4 linked regions of the Oryzias latipes genome follow. The protein of the gene in region 3 purifies or fractionates together with the protein of the main gene of each other region. This does not show direct contact. Links are inferred from orthologs where the notes say so. Each region holds a gene or a part of one and is shown on either strand. Other genes may lie near its edges. The genes, in order: usp15, E3 ubiquitin-protein ligase Itchy, smad7 and acvr1b.

Region 1 (4,454 bases), on a different chromosome or scaffold from region 3:
CCAGGGGATTTGACATGAAATCATAATAAAAACATGATCTTGTTTTGGATTCTTGCCTCTTACTCATAACAATATAAATCCATAACATACAGTTTTCATAAATGTTCTATGAATTAATTTTGTTCGTTTCCTGAAAACATATTTTGACTTTAAACCGGTCCGTGATCAAATGTAGACGACACAAGGAACAGCCCGTTAGCATAGCGTTTAGCGTGATAGCATCTTAGCGTGATAGCATCGTCGTGTCAGTGTAACGACACCGCTTTTTATTAAACGTTCTGTTGCTACTGTTAGTCCAACAGGTCTATCCTCCAATTCTGTCTGGGTTCTGTAAAAATGGTCACATGTTCCGCTTAGCGTAAACTAAAGCTACACGGAGATGATTAGCGGAGGTTACGGAGTGATTCATGCGGCGTGTGCGCTAGTGTTTATTTATTTTCCTCAGTCTCGCGGAAGTAGCTCCTCTTTGCCTCTCAAAAGTAAATCGTCTGGACCAACAAATTAACCGCCCAGCCCTAATCTAACATTAAACCCACTGAGTTCCAGCTTCAACCACATAAAATCAATTGTCAGTCGCGATACAGATGTCGCCAAGTTGGAGCCAGAAATTTTCAGTGAGCACTGATTGGTCCAAATTGGTTTAAGTCAAGACGTTTCTATGGCAACCACCGTCATCAATCAGAAGTGAGCTTGTTGAAAGGGGGTTTCACAGACTGTCAATCAAATGTTATTTAGGCATCTTTTTTTTTTTTTTTAGTTTTTGACTCGCAGTAAAGGGAAAAAAATATTAGGGACGTGTTTAAAAAAACAAACAAAAGTAGCAGAGCAAGGAGGATTCTTCTAAAAAATATAAAAGAGTGAAGCTACTATTACATCGCTCTCCGCAACATGCGCTCAAGTGACCACTTGCATTTGAAAGCCTATGTTCGTGCATTTTGGACTTCCGTGTTCAAAAGTCTGGCATTCACCGGTCACTATGCAGTTTTTCCACCACTATGTACGAAACACGCAGCCATTGAACACGCATTCAAAGGTTAAACCAGGACCAACTGTGACCAATCAGGGACTCAGATTTGCTATTGACGTATGGATGGCGTCCTCTTTAATGCACAGAAGTGTCAGCTGTTTAAAAATTGATCATAGAGGAGAAATGAATAACAGCGTTTTGTGTCCGGTGTGAAGTCTATGACGGCAAGTCTTTCATATCCAAGAACAAAGCTGTGATGGAAAAAGCCTGGAGCAAGATTCACGAGATTTATGCCGCTACGCCTTTTCACACAAAGCCTCGTTCAACTGTAGGTGGTGGACATGCGCCAGTAAACAGTCAAAAAATAAAAAGAAAAAAATGCCCCTCCCTGCCTTTCCGGTGTGAACACCATGGGGCTAAACACGGGTTCAAGAACGCACACTCTTGAACGCGCGTCACACGTGTTCGTAGCATTATAGCTGTTTATTTCTTTATAGAAGTCTACAGGATTTTGGCTTTTTGGAGTCAGCAGGTACTTCCTGTTTGGAGCATGAGAGTGGGAGTTCATTTTTCATATACAGTCAATGACTAAACCACAAGCTGAAAAAGGTCGTCTAACCCCTACAAGGAGAGAAGGTTCTGGTGATCACCTTAAAGGGTCTCGGGGTGACGTAGCTGTACTTGCCCGACCACAGCTGTTTGATGAGTTCGGCGTAGACTCGGGCGATCTCCCCCTTCATTCCCAGCGGGTTGTCCTCATTCAACTCGTCTGTGTACTTGTCTTTGAGGAAGTAGTCCGTCAGCGGAGGAGTGTTGCTTAAACACTGACGTTCAGAAGCAGAAAACACACAAAATTAGCGACCATCTCACTTCTAAACTACAAAGGAGACTTGAGGAAGGTTCTCCAGACCGCACCTGCACAGCAGAGTTCATAAAGCAGGTGTTCCCTAAGTTGGATAATCCACAGAGTCCTGAGCGCTCGCTGGGTCTGCTCTGGTCGGAGTAGTCGTAGCTGTTGGTGTAGGGGTGGTAGGACGGCAGACTGTAGCTGGAATTCTTCACACTGCACCACAAATGCAGAAAAAGCATCGCATTAGACTGAATTTTTAATGTAGCATCTACAAACACTGACTTCAGGACAAACATTTGATAGCCTTTAGGACTAAACCAACAGCAGACCCCTCCCCAGACAAAAAAACAAACTGAGTTTTCCGGAAAGAATCTGGGGGCTCTTTCCACCTGCAGCAAGTAGCGGACCTCTGAGGCAGAGCGCCGCCGCCCGCCTGCGCGTCCCAGCGCTCGAAGGACACGGCCGCGATGGTGGAGGCGGGCGCCTCGCAGCTCAGCACGTGGTGCTCCACCCTCCGGGAGTCCAGCTCCACCGCCTCAGGCCGCAGGCACCACCAGCAGCAGAGGAGCATGACATCCCAGCTCCGCCCCGGGCCCGGCCCACACCGGCCCGCATGTCAGCGGCCCGGGCTGAGCGGGAGGCGCATGTAAGGGCGCGGCTCCAGCGGGAATCTAACCGGGATGGATGTCATGGAGGCCTTTTGAAGTCCAAAAAATCTCTATATATATAAAAAAAAAAAACTTCTGGATGTCCTCCCCTCGGTAATTGTTGTGAGCTTGCCGTCTCCTCGCCAAATCCCCTCCCTCTGTCCTCTGCTCCTCCCTGCGGCCCGTCTGCTGCTTTCCACTCAAGCCTGCGGATATTTATAGCAGCGATGAGGATGCTCAAGACTGGAGGTGCGCACAGAGAAGGAGGGGGGGAGCAGCCTGCATCCAGCTGAGGCTGCAGTATTCACCCGTCTGACTCGGCGCTCTCCCTCAAAGTCATTTTCTTGCACAAGTGTCCTGACGCTTTCTCACCACGCCCTTACAGAACAAATGTAAAATAATAATTTTTAAAAAATCCTCGCTCTCCTGACGCCTTCAGCCCCTCACATATCAAAACCTGAAAATCACGGATTCCCTGAACGATTCGGTGGATGAAATGAGCCCTGAAGGTCACTCAGGACCGCAGAACGGGTGCAATAAGCTCGGGGTAAGGGGGGGGTAGGACATAAAGGGGAGAGTGGAGGAAGGAGAAAAAGAGCTGAGAATCATGGGAGCATCGCTGCTTCGGCTAAAATCGGTTATCCAATACGGGAACGCTTCCAATGAAGGAGGGAGCAAAGCAGGAGAGAAGGAGAAAACCAGCCCCCATGCATAATTAATAGCACTGCCATTAATGAATGAAGGAAGAGTTGCTCATTTTACCCATAACCCCCTCTTGTTACGCTTTTTTTTTTTTTTTTAAACAACTACACGACTCCAAAATAAACACATTTCAGGAGAACTGGGTTATTCCTTAGGAGAAAACTGACAGAACAGGAAGTTCACTCGTGGATTTCTACAGATTTTCTTTCTGCATTCTAGTTGTGTGCGCAGAAACGAGTCGATGTCACACACACAGGCGCACAAACGTGCACTAAAACCCAAGCACACACACAGGTTGGAAGGAAGAGTGAAGTGGAACGGCTTCTACGACAGCCAAGCAGCGCCGTCCGTCACACGGCCGACTGACAGGAAGCAAACGCTTCCAGGAAAAGACAGACGAGTGAGCCGGCGTCCCAGAGGACGCTGAGGTTGAGGTGGAGCTGCATGCCGGAGCCACGCCCATTTACAATCTACCTCCAAAAAACAATACAAATCATGAATTAATTAGAATTCATCTTTGGATTCCTGGGCTTCCATTGTTCGGACTACGGTCAGCCTGTCCGCATCTCGCAACGTGCAGACGTTCAAATGGAAACTAGCAAAGAGGAGCTTGTTCCTGAAGGAGGAAACTTTTCTAGTTTGGCTTTGCCCCCCTAGACTTGGAGCAACAAATCCCACGCTCCAAAATCTGTTTAGCTCCGTACACATCTGGCATTTAACGTGCATTCTTGAACGCTCGTTTAGCCCAAAGTGTTTACACTGGACAAGCAGGGAGGGGCTTCTTCCTCTTTTTTTTAACTCTTTACTAGCACATGTCCGCCACCTACAGTTGGAAGAGGATGGTGCAAAATATCAAAGCGGTGCAAATCATTGCATGTTGGGTGCGACACGGAAAACTGTTCGGTTCATCTACGGCGCCCTGGCAATGGTGGATTAGGTTATGAATAAATCAGGAGAGTTTATTTGAAAAACAGACGCAGACGTCGTCAGGCTCGTCTCCGTGTCTGAGCTGACCAGATGAAACTGCGGAATTCGGCCAGTTTCTATCAAATTTGAGTCGCTGATTGGTCAAAGTTTGACCTGGATTAGCTGGTAACGTGCGTCCAATAGCTGCGTATTGTATGTACAGCCCCAAAAGGGTCGTAACGCAGAAGCTTGAAACGCACATGTAAGCGAGTTTCCGAGCGCGGTGTGACGACAAAATCCCAGCAGCTCTCTGTGAGAAGCTCACGCCAGCAGCAGCTCACAAAACCTGCGTTGTGTTGATTTACATGCATTTTTTTACTAT
Region 2 (3,740 bases), on a different chromosome or scaffold from region 3:
GTTTGCAGTCAAACTCTGAAGGATTGCAAGAGCTCCAAATGCAATTCATGCATCAAATTCACACCTGCAGGCTCTCCTTTGACAAATGTTTTCAGCCTCATCGCTGAAAAGAGTTGACTGTACATCTGCACATTTTCTCTACAATGCATTACTGCAAAAAAAATAAAAAGCGTTTCCTCTAAAAGACCGAATATAAAAGCTGATCATTAAAACCTGGAATCTCTTTCTTTCCCTTCACAGCAGTGGCAGACCGTGCATTGCACACCCGGGCCTTCAGTAGTGCTGCGTCTGAATCCCTCAACCGCTCATGAACCCTTTTACGATGCAGAAACGAGGTTTGCATTACATATTGAAAACTCCTGTAGCCACAAGAAATGCCTCTAAATAAACGGAATAAACTAAACTGTAAACAAATGTCGTTATGCCACTACAGCCAGCAAAAAGCATTGAAAAGAACCACAAAAATATGGAATATTACACAGGGATGGTCGGCGCCAAACACACAAATCTGTTCAGCTGCTTCATGATTCACTCAGATTTTTCTGATGAAGGGAGTCTAGGAGATCAGTGTGAGATTTTCCTGTTAAATCCTCCATGGATACATTACAGTCAGCTCTGTTTTAACAGAGACGGATCAAAAAGTTCTCCGTGGCTCTGTGTCAAACTGGACATGGCTGTGTGTGACTTCATCAAACTTCTGTCCAATCAGAAGGTCTGAATACTGTGACACTGCCTAAGCCAGCTAGAAGGCCCTGCAGACGCCAACTCAGAATCTGACTGGTTGAAGGAAATGGATGACCAACATTGATTTTGCATTGAAAGGCCTGCAGAACTCACATTGAAGGCCTCTTTAGCTCTGACTCTGCCTGGCAACAAAGAACAGCTGAAATGCGATTGGTTAAATGCTCCAACCTCTGTCTGCAAGCAGCGTAACCATCATAAACAGAATAAAATAGAATGGACAGACCATTTGGAATGATTTAATGAGTATGCATGGACAAAATATAATTAACATGTGATTCAGACATTTTTTAGAGAAGGTCTTGAAGGCCCTGACGGCCCACCACTGCTTTACAGTATTGTCTGTTTGGCTGCTGTGAGCAGGAACTCACCATGTGTGACTCCGGGGCAACCAGTTTTCTTTTCCCACCTTCTCAATGCAAAACTTCTGAGGCCCGTTGCTTCCTGTTAGAAGAAGCAGTGACTCAGCTCAGACTATTCAATTTCACCATGTTTTGGCAGCAAACCCCAAAAATGTGTTGCTGTTTTTTTTACCCATAAGGTCGGCGAAGCCTCCGACGGGCAGACGACAGGTGCCGGTGACAAACTGCAGCAGTCTCATCCTCTTCTCGTTGTCCATCTCCTTCACAAGCTGCAGGGGGAAAACCTTGTAAATCCACACAGAGGAAGAGCAAACCTCATCCTCCCGAAAGGGTTTGACACCGACCTGCCAGAACCAGAGGATCTGTTTGCTGTTCCGAGCGTAGTGCCTGTAGATGGTGTTTCTCTGCCAGTCTGCAAGGTCGATGTCCTGCATGCCACACAGCATCACCTGTGGAGGGAAAGCAGCAAATTAAAAGTGACTCACCAAACTGCTTTCTGACGTACTGATCGTTCCTGAGCAGCAATCACACCTCAAGTTCTTTGGCATCAAAGTACTGTAGATACTGCTGAGGGAGGACCTCGTTGAAGCCCTCAAAAAAAGCTTGTGTTTGCTCCTCCACACCTCTGGACAGTCGCCACTCTGCTACCAGCCTGGAGGAGGATTTCCAAACAAGCAAACACTGAAATGTCTGCTTTTATTTATTATTCAAACAGCAGAAACTCAGAAAAAAATGACTAAAAATAAATGTTCAAGTCCTAAAGGGGGAAAAACTCACCGGATGTACTCCTCTTTGTTCTCCTCTGTGACTTGGATGTCTCCTCCTCCTGGCTTGAGCTCATGGGTGGTGATTTCTCCAAGAATCTCTTTGTCCACAGAGAAGAACATCTCTAAGCAGCACTCCTCGATGTTGTTGTCCCTAAACACCAAAGAGAAATTTACAGCTCTAGAACCAAGAAAACCCCTTTGACCTCCAGGGTTAGGAAGACCAGGGATGGCCACCTCTGACCTAGAACCTTAAAGTGTTGCAGTTCCTCAAACGACCACTGGCGGCTGATTTCCCTTTGATTCCCAGGTGAAAAAGCCAGATCCTGTAAATCAGTGGTCCCCAACCTTTTTCAGGTTTTATTTATTTTACAATATTTCAATGGACCGGCCTGTATGAGGCTGAAGTGGGCGTCTGATTTTTGTTTTCAGTCTCCAGTTTCCCTTCACTTCCAGGGGTAAAGTTTATCTTCATTCTCTGTAAAATATCTGCAGCTTCTCAAAGGAAACATTAAAATGTCACATAGATTTTCCTTTAACTGTCACTTAAACTGGTATTTACTAAATGTAAACATAAACCGCTTTATAAGAAGCATCCTGTATTTCTTTGGTTTCTAATCCTGTCAACTGCGGGGATGAATGTTTTTTTCTGTGTGTCTGTTTTGTTAATATTGGAGCTAAAAACTTGTCCGTAATCACGATGTTTGATGTTTTCTTAATTGGCAAGAGAGTGAATAAATGGAAAAAACTCGCACTTAGCTTTGTCCCATCAAATCTCTTTTCTCTGAGTATTTGTATGTCTAAGTAAGGCAGGGAATTATATCTTTGGCAAGATTTTGTTTTTTGAAAATAAATACTTTTTCATATTTTAATCCTTAATTGCTCACGAAAAAAGAAAGATTGAATGTAATTTTAGCCCATGCTAGAAAGACCCATGTTGATGGCCTTATATTTGCTTAAAGCGGTGACAACTACGTAGCTTGAACGAGTGATGACTGCCGCCTCCTCCTCCAGGTTTCCATCATTTTAGTTAGTACCATTACGGGGTCTCTGAATGATCTCAAAGTTTCATAAGCAGATTGTAAAAGATCCTAAAGAACCAGCTCATCTGAACAAAAGCATCTGGTTTTAACCTGGTAAATGTTGGCATCACTAAGCAGCTAAAAAAAGATTTAAAAAATGACAGGATCTCTAATACAGAAATGATTTTGTTACTGAAGACTTTATAAAAAAGTGGCAGTTTTTACGTACTTAATCCACATGAGAGAGTTGTAGAACTCCGGATCAATCGACTCCAGATCTTTGACCGCCAAAGGCTTGTTGAGAATGCGCTTGTAAAAAGGCAGCGAGAAACCCGTATTGATGAACTTCCCGTGAAAGAGAGCCTGAGGGATTCAAACGACATTCGATTAGAACAAGAAAGCCTCTGCGGCCACAGCAGTAACACATTTCTTCTCATGGCGGTCGTGACTGCGAACCATGGCAATGAAGCGCCCGATGAACCTGAAGTACTTGAGGTGGTCGGGGTTGATGGAGGAAGCAGGGTTGATCTGAAGACAGTAGTTATCTTTGCCGGCGTATTCAAACAGGCAGTACATGGGGTTCAAAACCTCGTGTGACAGCAGGAAGAACCACTCCCTGCAAGAAAGAAACCACCAGTTATAGAACGACGTCCCTACTACTACTACTACTACTACTCTGACCTTACAGAGACCAGTCTGATCTTACCTGGCAACGCCTCCATAGTCGAGGCCTTCCTCTCCAGGAAAAATGATCCACAGCCTCCTCCGCAGATCCGGAGCGTTGATACTCATGATCTAAAACACATCAAAGCAGATGATGCAGTCAACAGCTTTTCTGCAGTTTTATTTAA
Region 3 (5,100 bases):
TTCATTATACCGTCCATAATGAAAGTGAAGGCTTTTATTCTGTTCTATTCTAATATCCCATTTTCCTAAAGGGTAAAATATTGAGTCTCCTGCTAGGTTTTGATCAGATGAAAACAAGCCCAAGTGGCTCTTTTACTGTTAAAAGTTGCAGACCTCTGGCCTATAGTATTTAACAATATGGTGAATGAATATTAGAAAGCAATAATGGAGCCATCCAGTTTTGAGCCAGATGCCAGCTGAGGTAAGGAAAACAAAGACTTACATGGATCTATTTGTCTACAAGCATCAGAATGGAGCGAGCAGGGAGCTTGTGGCCCTCCCATCTGCTCCTGATTCACAACGATTTGAATAAAGAAAAACTCAGAAAACCATCTTTAATCTTAATTTCATTTATAAATGCCCTCCATTATGAGAAAAAAATGCCACAAGAACATGATAAAAAATACAATGGAATGGGTCTTTAAATGAGCAGCTAAATGTTCTGCGTCTGCAGACTTTGTCTTGAAGGGTAAATAAAAACACGGGTCTCAGCTCAGAGCACAGTTTTTATTGAAAACAGCCCCGCTCCACAGCCTGCAGACAGACTCTTCAGGCAGCCCGAGATGGCAAACGGTTAGATAAAAGTGTCTACTTCCTGGAGTCTGGAGACTGGTCTCATGCAAACAAAGGGAAGGGCATGCAGATTGGTGGATAGGGGAGGGGACAGCGCACGAGAGCAGCAGCAGGCACCTCCACAGAGCCCCCCTGACAGACCCCCTTTCCCCCACCCCACCCCTGACTGATTGCTTCCAGACTCCTCCAGGAACGCGCCGCAGTCCCTCTGCTCGGTTTGGGGCTGCAGTGGCGCGCTCCTCCTCGGCGCCAGTTGGGGATCCGGGGGAACAATACGGGGGGGATAAACGACTGATACCCCCCCCCCCCCCCACACACACACATACACACACACACCCCACCTCCTCCCCCATCTTTCTCCATCTCCTCCACGCATGCACACACACCCCTCCTCAACCCCACACATCTCTGCCACCATCATTATCTGCCGCCCACCCCCATGCCCTGCAGCAACTCTGTCATATTAACATACTGCTGACTGCATCTCCTCCCCGGGACTACTGTCTGTCGAGGGAAGTCTGCAGACCAGAAACGGTTCATTTCTGTTTAAAAGAACAATTTCTCCTAAAACGTGTTAAATTTATTGGGTTTGAAGTGAGACATCACAGTGAGTGTTCCCCATCAAGCTGTATTTGTACATTTTTGGCACCAACATTGAGCTAAATTCCAGACATATATAAGTCTGTTATAATTAATATGGATTCCATGAGGGCAATGACACAGAAGGAAGGCTGGCACATGTTAAAAAGACAAGAAAAGACAAATTTGATCCTCAGCTGATGGATTGATCTGCTGGATAAATAAAGATGGGTGGGAACTCTTTGTGTGTGTAGTACCGAACATGTCCGATGGGGGGCAGCAACGAGCTCCCCCGAAGGAGTCAGCACTGTGGCTCACTTCCTAAATTCAACTCCAGCCATAAACTCTCCAAAACAATAAAACTGCCCTGTGTGATCACCATGGCAACAGTGGCGAAAAGCTATGAAGATATATTAAACTGATTCATAGCTTTAACGATGAAACACGTATTTACTGCTTATTCAGTACAAGCGTGAAATTAATGATTGAATATATATATATATATATATATATATATATATATATATATATATATATATATATATATATATATATATATATATATATATATATATATATAAACATTATTTTAGGACTGAAAGCAAACCAAAAAATCTGCAGATTTACTAAATAATTTAACTGAGAAATTTTTTTAATGTTGTTCTTTTTTCTGCAAATATTAAACTTTTGTGGCGTAAACTTTCTCATTTGTGTTTTCTAAGTGCGCGCGCGCGCTTGTGTGTGTGTGTGCACCGTGGGCTCTACTTGATCTGTTGTTTGCGCAACACAATCACATTTCTTTTAAGCGACAGGGTGTCTAGACACACACGTGACCGGGCGCGTCAATGCGCACTGGAGACTGGAGACGGAGCAAGGGCACCCAAACCATCCGCCTCATTTACAGACAGAGAGCCCTTTAGCCCGGACCAGATCAGCTGTCTGCTCGCTTTCCTCCACGCTCAGCCACGGAAACTCCGTGAGAGATACGATTTTGGATTATTTTATCTGGAGGGATTGCTAAAAGCAGGCTCGCTGCGTGGACGCAAAAAAGAAAAAGAAAAACGGAGGGTCTTGCTGTGGCTTTACAAACGCGACTCAACTCCGGTGGGAGACCTGGATTTTTTTCTCCTTGGCTCACTATTTTACCAGAAGACCTCATCCACTACATACTAAAATATACATTTAAAGGTGGGGAGCCCCAGTTCGTGCGCTCGGATGAAGGATTTTGTGGATTATGCTACTCAAGACGCGGCGGAGAGCTTCGCTTTTTCATGGGATGATTGCGCCAGCGTTGAGGCTTAATTAGGCCTTAGGTTTTTCTTATAAGTACCAGTTAGTTGTGACTTGAATAAACATTTCTGACAGCGTTTTTCCCCCCGCTGTAAACCGTCACGGCGTTTTTTTAAAGGGGTCAGTTCACAGCGCCGGATTGCACAAAACTGTAACGCATTCGGGCTTCACGCAGCTCCGCTGCTGCAGGTTTCCTGCTCCGGTTTGGTGTTTCTAAGCTCATAGATGTGATCTTTTTTTTTTTTTGTATTCTGATCGTGGAAACGTTGGCTGTCCCGCCAACCTCGAGCGCTTTCTGGTGACCTTTCTGCAGGAAAAACAGCTTCAGAGACTGGCGCATGCTATAGATTTCCTCTGCTTCTCCAGCTCCCAGTTTTTCCACCGTTTTCTCTCAGGCTGCTTGTCATTGCCTGGACTCGGATCCCGGAATCTTCATGATTTGCGGACACCATGCTCGTTTTTTAGCCGGGAAACCCTCTTTTCGTCCCGCATGTTTAGGACCAAACGATCGGGGCTCGTCCGGCGACTCTGGAGGAGCCGTGCGCCCGTGGAGGGCGACGGGGAGACGGATAGAGGGACGCATGGCTCCGGGGGCTGCTGCATGGGCAAAGCGACAAAAGTGGCCAAGTCCAACGCGGGGTCGGAGGCCGAATTGAAGGCGTTGACCCACTCGGTACTGAAAAAGATCAAAGAAAAACAATTAGAGGTGCTTTTGCAGGCGGTGGAGTCCAAGGGGGGCGTCCGGAGCCCCTGCCTTCTCCTGCCCAGCAAAGTGGACGCCAAAGTGGGTCAACAGTCTTACTCCCTCCCCATGCTGCTCTACAAAGTGTTCAGGTGGCCGGACCTCAGGCATTCCTCGGAGCTGAAGAGGCTGTCGTGCTGTGAATCTTACGGGAAAGCCAACCCCGAGCTCGTTTGCTGCAACCCTCACCACATGAGCAGGCTCTGTGAACTCGGTGAGCTTCAATATTTTCACTAAAAAAAACTCCAAAAAAATGAGGTCCTAGGTGGAGAGAAGGCTGAAAAAGACTGTGCCAATTAACCTAATTCTAATGACAACACCTCTCTGGCACAGTGGTCTTCAGGTTCCATTGATCTGAAGCTGTGCCAGATCCTTTTAGCAGGTTTGGTGGTCGAGTTTGAATAGAAACCTACTTTAATTAATTGTTCCATTTGATTTTTTTTTTCCAAAACTCAAATCCTCCTCAGCTATACGCATTGTCGCGGTTTCAGATTTCCAAACACCCCTGTTAAGAATTTCAACATTTCATAATTGGCATCCAAAGTACAGAAAGACTCTCCAGTCTTGAAATGTGTGTGTTTATGTGTGTGTGTGCTTGCTTGGCGTCCCGGGCCAAAAGAGGCCCGTATCTCAGTTTGTCCTAGACGCTGATAGTGGCCCTTCTGGCGCCAGGCGGCCCCCTGTTTATCTGCCTGCCAATGAAAGGCAATAGCCGCCCGGCCAGCCTCACTGCCTGCTTCTCCAGGCGGAGCTGACAGGCACAAATCAGCCCTCCCCTGAAGAATGACAACTCTTATCAGAAAGTTCAGATCTCTCCTTTGTGTTTTTTTTCTTCCTCTTCTTTTCTCATGCAGTTTTTTTTCTTTCCCCCCCTCCTCCTCCACACAGAGTCTCCTCCTCCTCCTTATTCGCGATATCCCATGGACTATTTGAAACCACCAGGTGAGCTTGATGCATCATTTCACATGGATATTTCCTAAGTCATTGCTTTTTGTTTGTTTGTTTGTGCAATAATATGCATGTTTGAAGTGATGTCATGAGCTGCACTTCACGTTGGTGTCCTCTGCAGGAAATGGTGTTGTGATTTATGGGGAGTTGTGTGTGTGTGGGGGGGGGGCAGAGTGACACGCCTGGCTGGCTGGCCAATTCTAATGTGGCTAGCAGCCAGGGCAAGGCAATACGAAGTTGAGATACCAGCTATGGACTGACTGGCATGTCACCAGGGCTTGTGTGCATGTCTGAGTTGGGGGTGGGGTTGGGGGGGTGGTCTGTCCATCTATCTATTGTGAACCACAGTGCTGAGAGAGACAGACAACAGAGTCTGGAGCCAGTCAGCCTTTATCAGATGGAATGATCAGTAGATTAAGAGTGGGGTTTGCGGTGTGTGTTTGGGAGGGAGGGGGGTCTTTTCTCCACTCAAAGTGATTGCCCCCCCCCTCCACCACCACCACCACCCAACACTTGTTTTCTGACTTGACCCGGGCCCCCGTGTGGCAGCAGGCCACAGCATCGTCATGGGTTACATCCGCTTTGAAGACCAAACCCTCGTCTTTAATTATCTCTTATTTCTGATCATCTCAGCCTCCATGGGCGCAGAAACAGCCCGGAGTTAAACAGCCAACTGTCAGCCAGCCAGTTAGTCAGAAGAAGGAGAAAGTGGCTTTCAGTGAGTGGAAACAATAGGAAGTAATTGCAGCTGCAGCTGCGGTTCTTCATAGCCCCCCTCCTTCCTCTTCGCTCTCTCTTTGTCGTCTTTTACCATGCTCTGGTAATATTCTATGCTGACAAGCAGCTCCCCAAGCCCAAAGAGACGCTGCTACCCCCAAAAAGGTCTCTGCCGGTTCCCTGGGACTTGTCACGAGAGAGCCTCTGCAAGA
Region 4 (5,021 bases), on a different chromosome or scaffold from region 3:
GGCTCAACTATGAAAACAAAATGCATGATCTGACAAACACTCTCCATCTACACTTGACAGTTGAGGTTTTTTAAAGCAAGTCTATCTGAGGCAAGTTGAAGCAAGTCAACAAATTGAGATGACAATATTAGCAGACCGGGGTTTCTATAGCCTCCACCACACTCCCCGTTTCCAACCCACAGGAGCCCCAACATGCAAATCACACCAACAAATCACTCAAAGTCAAAACATTTTAAACAAAAACAACATTACATTATAGAAATCTTAACAAAATTTAAAAATAATAATAACGGTACAATTTGGAACACAAAAATAATTTAAAAAATAAAATGAAATGCTAAAAAAACAAAATACAGGAAGAAACCAGAAAAGGTAGTTACTATGGGACATCACTAGCTAGATGATGACATTTGTCAATTATATCAATCAAAAAATATTTGGCATGAAGCGACACTGACTATGCTCCATACTAATCATCAAACTTGTATAGGTATGTGGACATTAAAGACGCATTACAAAATAAACTCTAACGTCATCGTCCATTCAATGATGTCCCACAGTACCTACCTTTTCCAACTTTGTTGTTTCGCTTTTTAACATTTCATTTTGATATTTACAAATCACTTTTGTTTTCCCAAACCTGTCTTTTTTAATTGTGTTTTAGTTTCGCCTTTTTAATTGACGTGATCTTTAAAGGCCCACCAGGATCTACTTTTGGTCTATATTAAAAGCATTCCCAGTGGTCTTAATAATGATCGTGCTGTTTTTAGGTTAAATCCATAAACCTGTGTCATTTTCAAGGATTGTTAAGGTGGAGTAAGCCCGGCCATCATCCCTTTGTTTACATGCTCTCCTGCTAGCTTACAGCTTCTCACAACTCCAACTAAACATTACAGTTGCAACAAAAACAGTAAGCAATACTGGAGCTATCCAACAGTACAGTTTTGATGCCAGCTCCGCCAAGGAAAGTGAAGACGTACATGAATCTCTTTGTCTGCAATTGGATACATAGGCATGGAGCAGAGCAGGGATCTGTTGTCCCGAAGACATAGCACCTACGTCACTGTTAAGGCCTGTTCACACCGGGACGAATTTCGCCGGCTATTTTCGCCGACTTTTAACGCCTCGTGACTAAACAAAGGGCACCAATGTGAGTGTGCACACCGATGCGAAAAAACGCAACGCGTCAAAAAAAAAAAAACAACGCCTCGGGTTCGTTTTTTTTTGATGCCTCGCGTCGAAATCTATTCCACCAATGAGAATGTCGCTTTTGCACACGTGTCTGGAGCTTCTGAAGTTACAGTAAAACACATCTTGGGGGCGCTTAAACACAAAAACTGCCTTGCTGAGCACACATACCAGCGAAGAAGATAGACGCCAAGTAGCGTCTATATGCCGTGAAGAAATAATGACGGATATTCTAAAATATCCCCGAACCAAGCACCAGTTGGAGCTACTGGTGCTTGAAATATTCATGTTTTTTTTGTATTATTCTGACAAGCGCGTAAATACTTGCTCTCTTCTTCTGAGTGAAAAGCGACTTTAAGAAGCGTAAAGTTGCGCAGCGCCACCTTGTGTACAGGAGTATTTCTGTTTACATTAAGCGCCATCTAATGTCAGGGAATGAAATTGCATGTTCGCTCGGCTCATCGTCAGCGAAAATCGCCTGGGTGTGAACACAAAAAACGCGGCGAATAACGCCTGGCGAATATTCGTCCCGGTGTGTACGGGTCTTTACAGGGTTTTTCTAACTACATTTTTTCGTCTGCTCCGGATTCACTTTGATCTGAATAAAGAAGTGCTCAGAAATGCAATCATATGCTTAATTTTCTTTATCTATCTATGTGATCCATCATGAGAAAACTGCTGCAAGGGCCACCGTACAAACTGTCCGTAAATCAAAACGAGGTGAAATCACATAAACATGCATGTGGTCATGCAAGGGTGCATGTGGTCATACAAGAGGTTAGGCATCAGCTGTTCCTGCAGGTCAGGGGAATCGCAGACACACAACTGGCGCCTGAAAAGACCACACCGAACAATTTCCATGACAATGAACCCAGACTTCAACTTTGACTTGTGTCTGGGTCGGCTGAAAGAGCGGCTGCTGTCAACCCCCCTCCCCATGCCAGCATTCGCGCTCTGCCGAGAGGCCACTACGCAAGCTTTTCACTGCATGCATGTGGGGTGGGGGGCGACGACAAATGGCTGTGTTTACCCATGAAAAACAGCTTACGAGCGCCAAATACATGCCGACCTCCATTCACAGCCTCCTCTCTGTGCGCCTTTAACCACCAGAGCTCACAAACACGTGAATAAAAACATGATAAATATTTATAGCGAGCTATCACAGCACTGAGTTCCAGTCAATACAATGATAAGCAGGCACGAGCCACCAAGAAGCTTGTTTTGTAAATAAAAACCGAATATCAGCTTATGAGAGATAACATTTAACTTCAACGCTATGCTGAGAATTAAACAAAATTTAAATGTTATTTAAAAAAATATAAACACACAATTTATATGGTTATTTATCTGATAAACGTCGGCACTTTTATAAACATTGTTCAGTTCAGACACAGTTGGCTAGCAAACGTTAGCAGCCGCCTCGAAACACACAGCAGCTCCACCATTGTTGTTGTGGTTAGCTCCGTCTTTACCGGCGATTCATCCCTCTTTTTTTTTTGGTCACCACAAATTCCAACACACAAAAACACGCATTTTTATTTTGGTCAGACCAAACACTTGCCGTGGTTTTGAGGTCGGCGCTAGCCATAGGGCTAGCCAACAAGCCGATCCAGAGCGCCATGACGATTAGCGACAACAGGCGATGCCCACTCCAGGAAAACACACCGAGACAGACAAAAGCCAGGGAGATGCTGGGATCAAACTTACCGTCGCCGACGGCCGCCGACCCGAGCAGGGCGAGCAGCGTTACAGCCAATCGTATTAGAGCCATGTTTTCAGAATTCCCATCGCAACGCGGTGAAATGCGCCCGAAATATGTCGTTATCAAGGCGGCGAGACCTGAAACACAACCACAGTCCGACCGCACACACCACACCGCCAGATACTAGCCAGCCAGCCGGTGACGCGCTAGAGGGAGGGGTGAGGAAGTTTAAAGGGTGAGGGCTGCGTGCAGCACGTCCCCCACTGACAGCGAGGACACGGCTGTGAGGAGGAGAACACCAAAGGTTCAGGATGAATAACAGCTCTCCTTTCAGCCTTGATCACAAAAAGTAGACAATTCCTCAACACTTCCGTTTACATTAAACACAGCGAAGCTCCGCCCAACACAGCACATCTATACTCTTTATGTGTAACAAATCATTTAACAATGAACACATTACAAAAGTACTTTTTGTGGTGACAGAGGCATTACTGATATTTATTCCAAACATATTTTATTCATTACATTACTAGTGTCTTGTGTATTGCACAGACTCACTGCCTAAAATGTAAATGTTCAAAGGAGCAAGTCTATAGAGGACATGAAAACTGTCTGTCTTTTTGTTGTGAGGTGGGTGTTGTCATTTTAACCTCTGTAGGAGAATCGATTTATAGTCCTACGATCCACTCAGACCAATCTGTCTGAGGCAATTTGTTATTCAAATCGATCTATACCATTACAAAATGTTTTTTCAAATGAAATGACTCAATTACATGGATAATGGAAAATACCTTTTGGATTGAGGCATGGTAGGTTTTCTTTACTGTAACTTGAAAATGACCAAGTTTCATCACAGCGGACAACACAACACAGTTGACGGCAAAAAAAGGATCAAGCCGTCATTACAGTCCAATGTTGGAAACACTTTAAATTCTGCAATGACGTGACCATACAGTGTGGTAGAATGTTCTAATAATGTATTATTTTGATGTGGAAAAACAACAGAGGGATGAACTTTGTAAAACTAAAATGTGAATGGATTTACCATTCATTCTTGTTTAATTGTTTGTTTATACACATATTTAGTTTACACTTGATTATCTTTCAAGAAATATAAGGAATCTGGAAAACTTCACCTGCACTGTTCAGTATCCATGTATTTATCTCTCAGTCACACTGGTTGAAATTTTGGCTAAAGATATCCTGGATAGATCTTAGGTCAGTGTATCGGATCGTTCAAAATAAACCAATATTGTCTATGAATTGTATCAGCAACTGCAAATTATGATATGAATTATTGATGTTCCAGTCCCTACAGGATTTCTTGGCATTTTTTATAACATGCTCATGATTTGCAATCCATTTTAACTTTTAACGAGACAAAGAATGGTTGTAGACGTACTTGTGCACAGGGGCCCAAAAAAGCTCTTTCTTGCACTTTTTGGAGCTTAAAAAAACCAAAACATGTTTGATGTAAAAACTAATGTTTGTTGTTTGACCTTGTTTCCTGAGAAGATGCATTTTTTAGTGCAACATAAAATATGGAGTCTCAAAAAGTCCATTAGTTTTTTTATTTTAATTGCAACTTGACCCAATAGTGCCTTAAATGTACGGTTAAAATGCAGACGACCGTACAGATGATTCAACAAATGAGTAAACCTTTGTGGTGGTGTATTTTGCAAATGCGTGAGGAAGTTTGACGTCACAAATGACGCCTTCTTCTTCAGAAACTTCATGAATGTTAAACCATAAATTTTAAGAAATGACAAGAAGTTCTCAATTACTTAAAAAAGAATAAAAAATACATTTCTAATGCCCTTTTTTCCTTTTCTGAAAAATAAAATTACTGTTTCTTCTCTGACATCATTGCAAACCATTAGAAATCATAAAAAAGATTAAAATATACAATGTAAAATTATAAATAAAAACCCTTGCAAATATAGATATGTTAAGTATTTTTTCCACGTCTTGTCTGTGAATGATCAGTTTAGTCTTTATATGAAATTTTAAAAAGCCCACATTGAGTTTAGCAATCAAGACTAATTGTGGTACACATTATTATAATAACTGCCCTCCCCATCCCAAAACCAGTCTACCAATGAATATCTCTGGTGAAGTTAATGGTTTAGGT

Evidence for each region.
Region 1: the proteins of smad7 (region 3) and usp15 purify together in Homo sapiens (affinity purification with western blotting; 3 studies listed by BioGRID). This does not show direct contact. The link is inferred for Oryzias latipes from reciprocal best matches to the Homo sapiens genes SMAD7 and USP15.
Region 2: the proteins of smad7 (region 3) and E3 ubiquitin-protein ligase Itchy purify together in Homo sapiens (affinity purification with western blotting; 4 studies listed by BioGRID and IntAct, with this or other methods). This does not show direct contact. The link is inferred for Oryzias latipes from reciprocal best matches to the Homo sapiens genes SMAD7 and ITCH.
Region 4: the proteins of smad7 (region 3) and acvr1b purify together in Homo sapiens (affinity purification with western blotting; 3 studies listed by BioGRID and IntAct, with this or other methods). This does not show direct contact. The link is inferred for Oryzias latipes from reciprocal best matches to the Homo sapiens genes SMAD7 and ACVR1B.

The regions. Positions count from the first base shown.
Region 1 is NC_019881.2:6,926,057-6,930,510, reverse strand, and holds part of usp15 (ubiquitin carboxyl-terminal hydrolase 15), read right to left. Parts: exon of another isoform or gene 2,389-4,454; coding exon of another isoform or gene 2,207-2,388; intron 2,031-2,206; coding exon 1,883-2,030; intron 1,792-1,882; coding exon 1,618-1,791; intron 1-1,617. UniProt on the Homo sapiens protein: Hydrolase that removes conjugated ubiquitin from target proteins and regulates various pathways such as the TGF-beta receptor signaling, NF-kappa-B and RNF41/NRDP1-PRKN pathways.
Region 2 is NC_019865.2:2,013,684-2,017,423, forward strand, and holds part of E3 ubiquitin-protein ligase Itchy, read right to left. Parts: intron 3,685-3,740; coding exon 3,596-3,684; intron 3,506-3,595; coding exon 3,346-3,505; intron 3,253-3,345; coding exon 3,119-3,252; intron 2,022-3,118; coding exon 1,881-2,021; intron 1,756-1,880; coding exon 1,635-1,755; intron 1,553-1,634; coding exon 1,448-1,552; intron 1,373-1,447; coding exon 1,276-1,372; intron 1,186-1,275; coding exon 1,113-1,185; intron 1-1,112. UniProt on the Homo sapiens protein: Acts as an Acts as an E3 ubiquitin-protein ligase which accepts ubiquitin from an E2 ubiquitin-conjugating enzyme in the form of a thioester and then directly transfers the ubiquitin to targeted substrates.
Region 3 is NC_019870.2:9,759,613-9,764,712, reverse strand, and holds the start of smad7 (mothers against decapentaplegic homolog 7), read left to right. Parts: upstream 1-2,019; 5' UTR 2,020-2,971; coding exon 2,972-3,437; intron 3,438-4,111; coding exon 4,112-4,165; intron 4,166-5,100. UniProt on the Homo sapiens protein: Antagonist of signaling by TGF-beta (transforming growth factor) type 1 receptor superfamily members; has been shown to inhibit TGF-beta (Transforming growth factor) and activin signaling by associating with their receptors thus preventing SMAD2 access.
Region 4 is NC_019865.2:12,257,590-12,262,610, reverse strand, and holds the start of acvr1b (activin receptor type-1B), read right to left. Parts: upstream 3,169-5,021; 5' UTR 2,960-3,168; coding exon 2,896-2,959; intron 1-2,895. UniProt on the Homo sapiens protein: Transmembrane serine/threonine kinase activin type-1 receptor forming an activin receptor complex with activin receptor type-2 (ACVR2A or ACVR2B).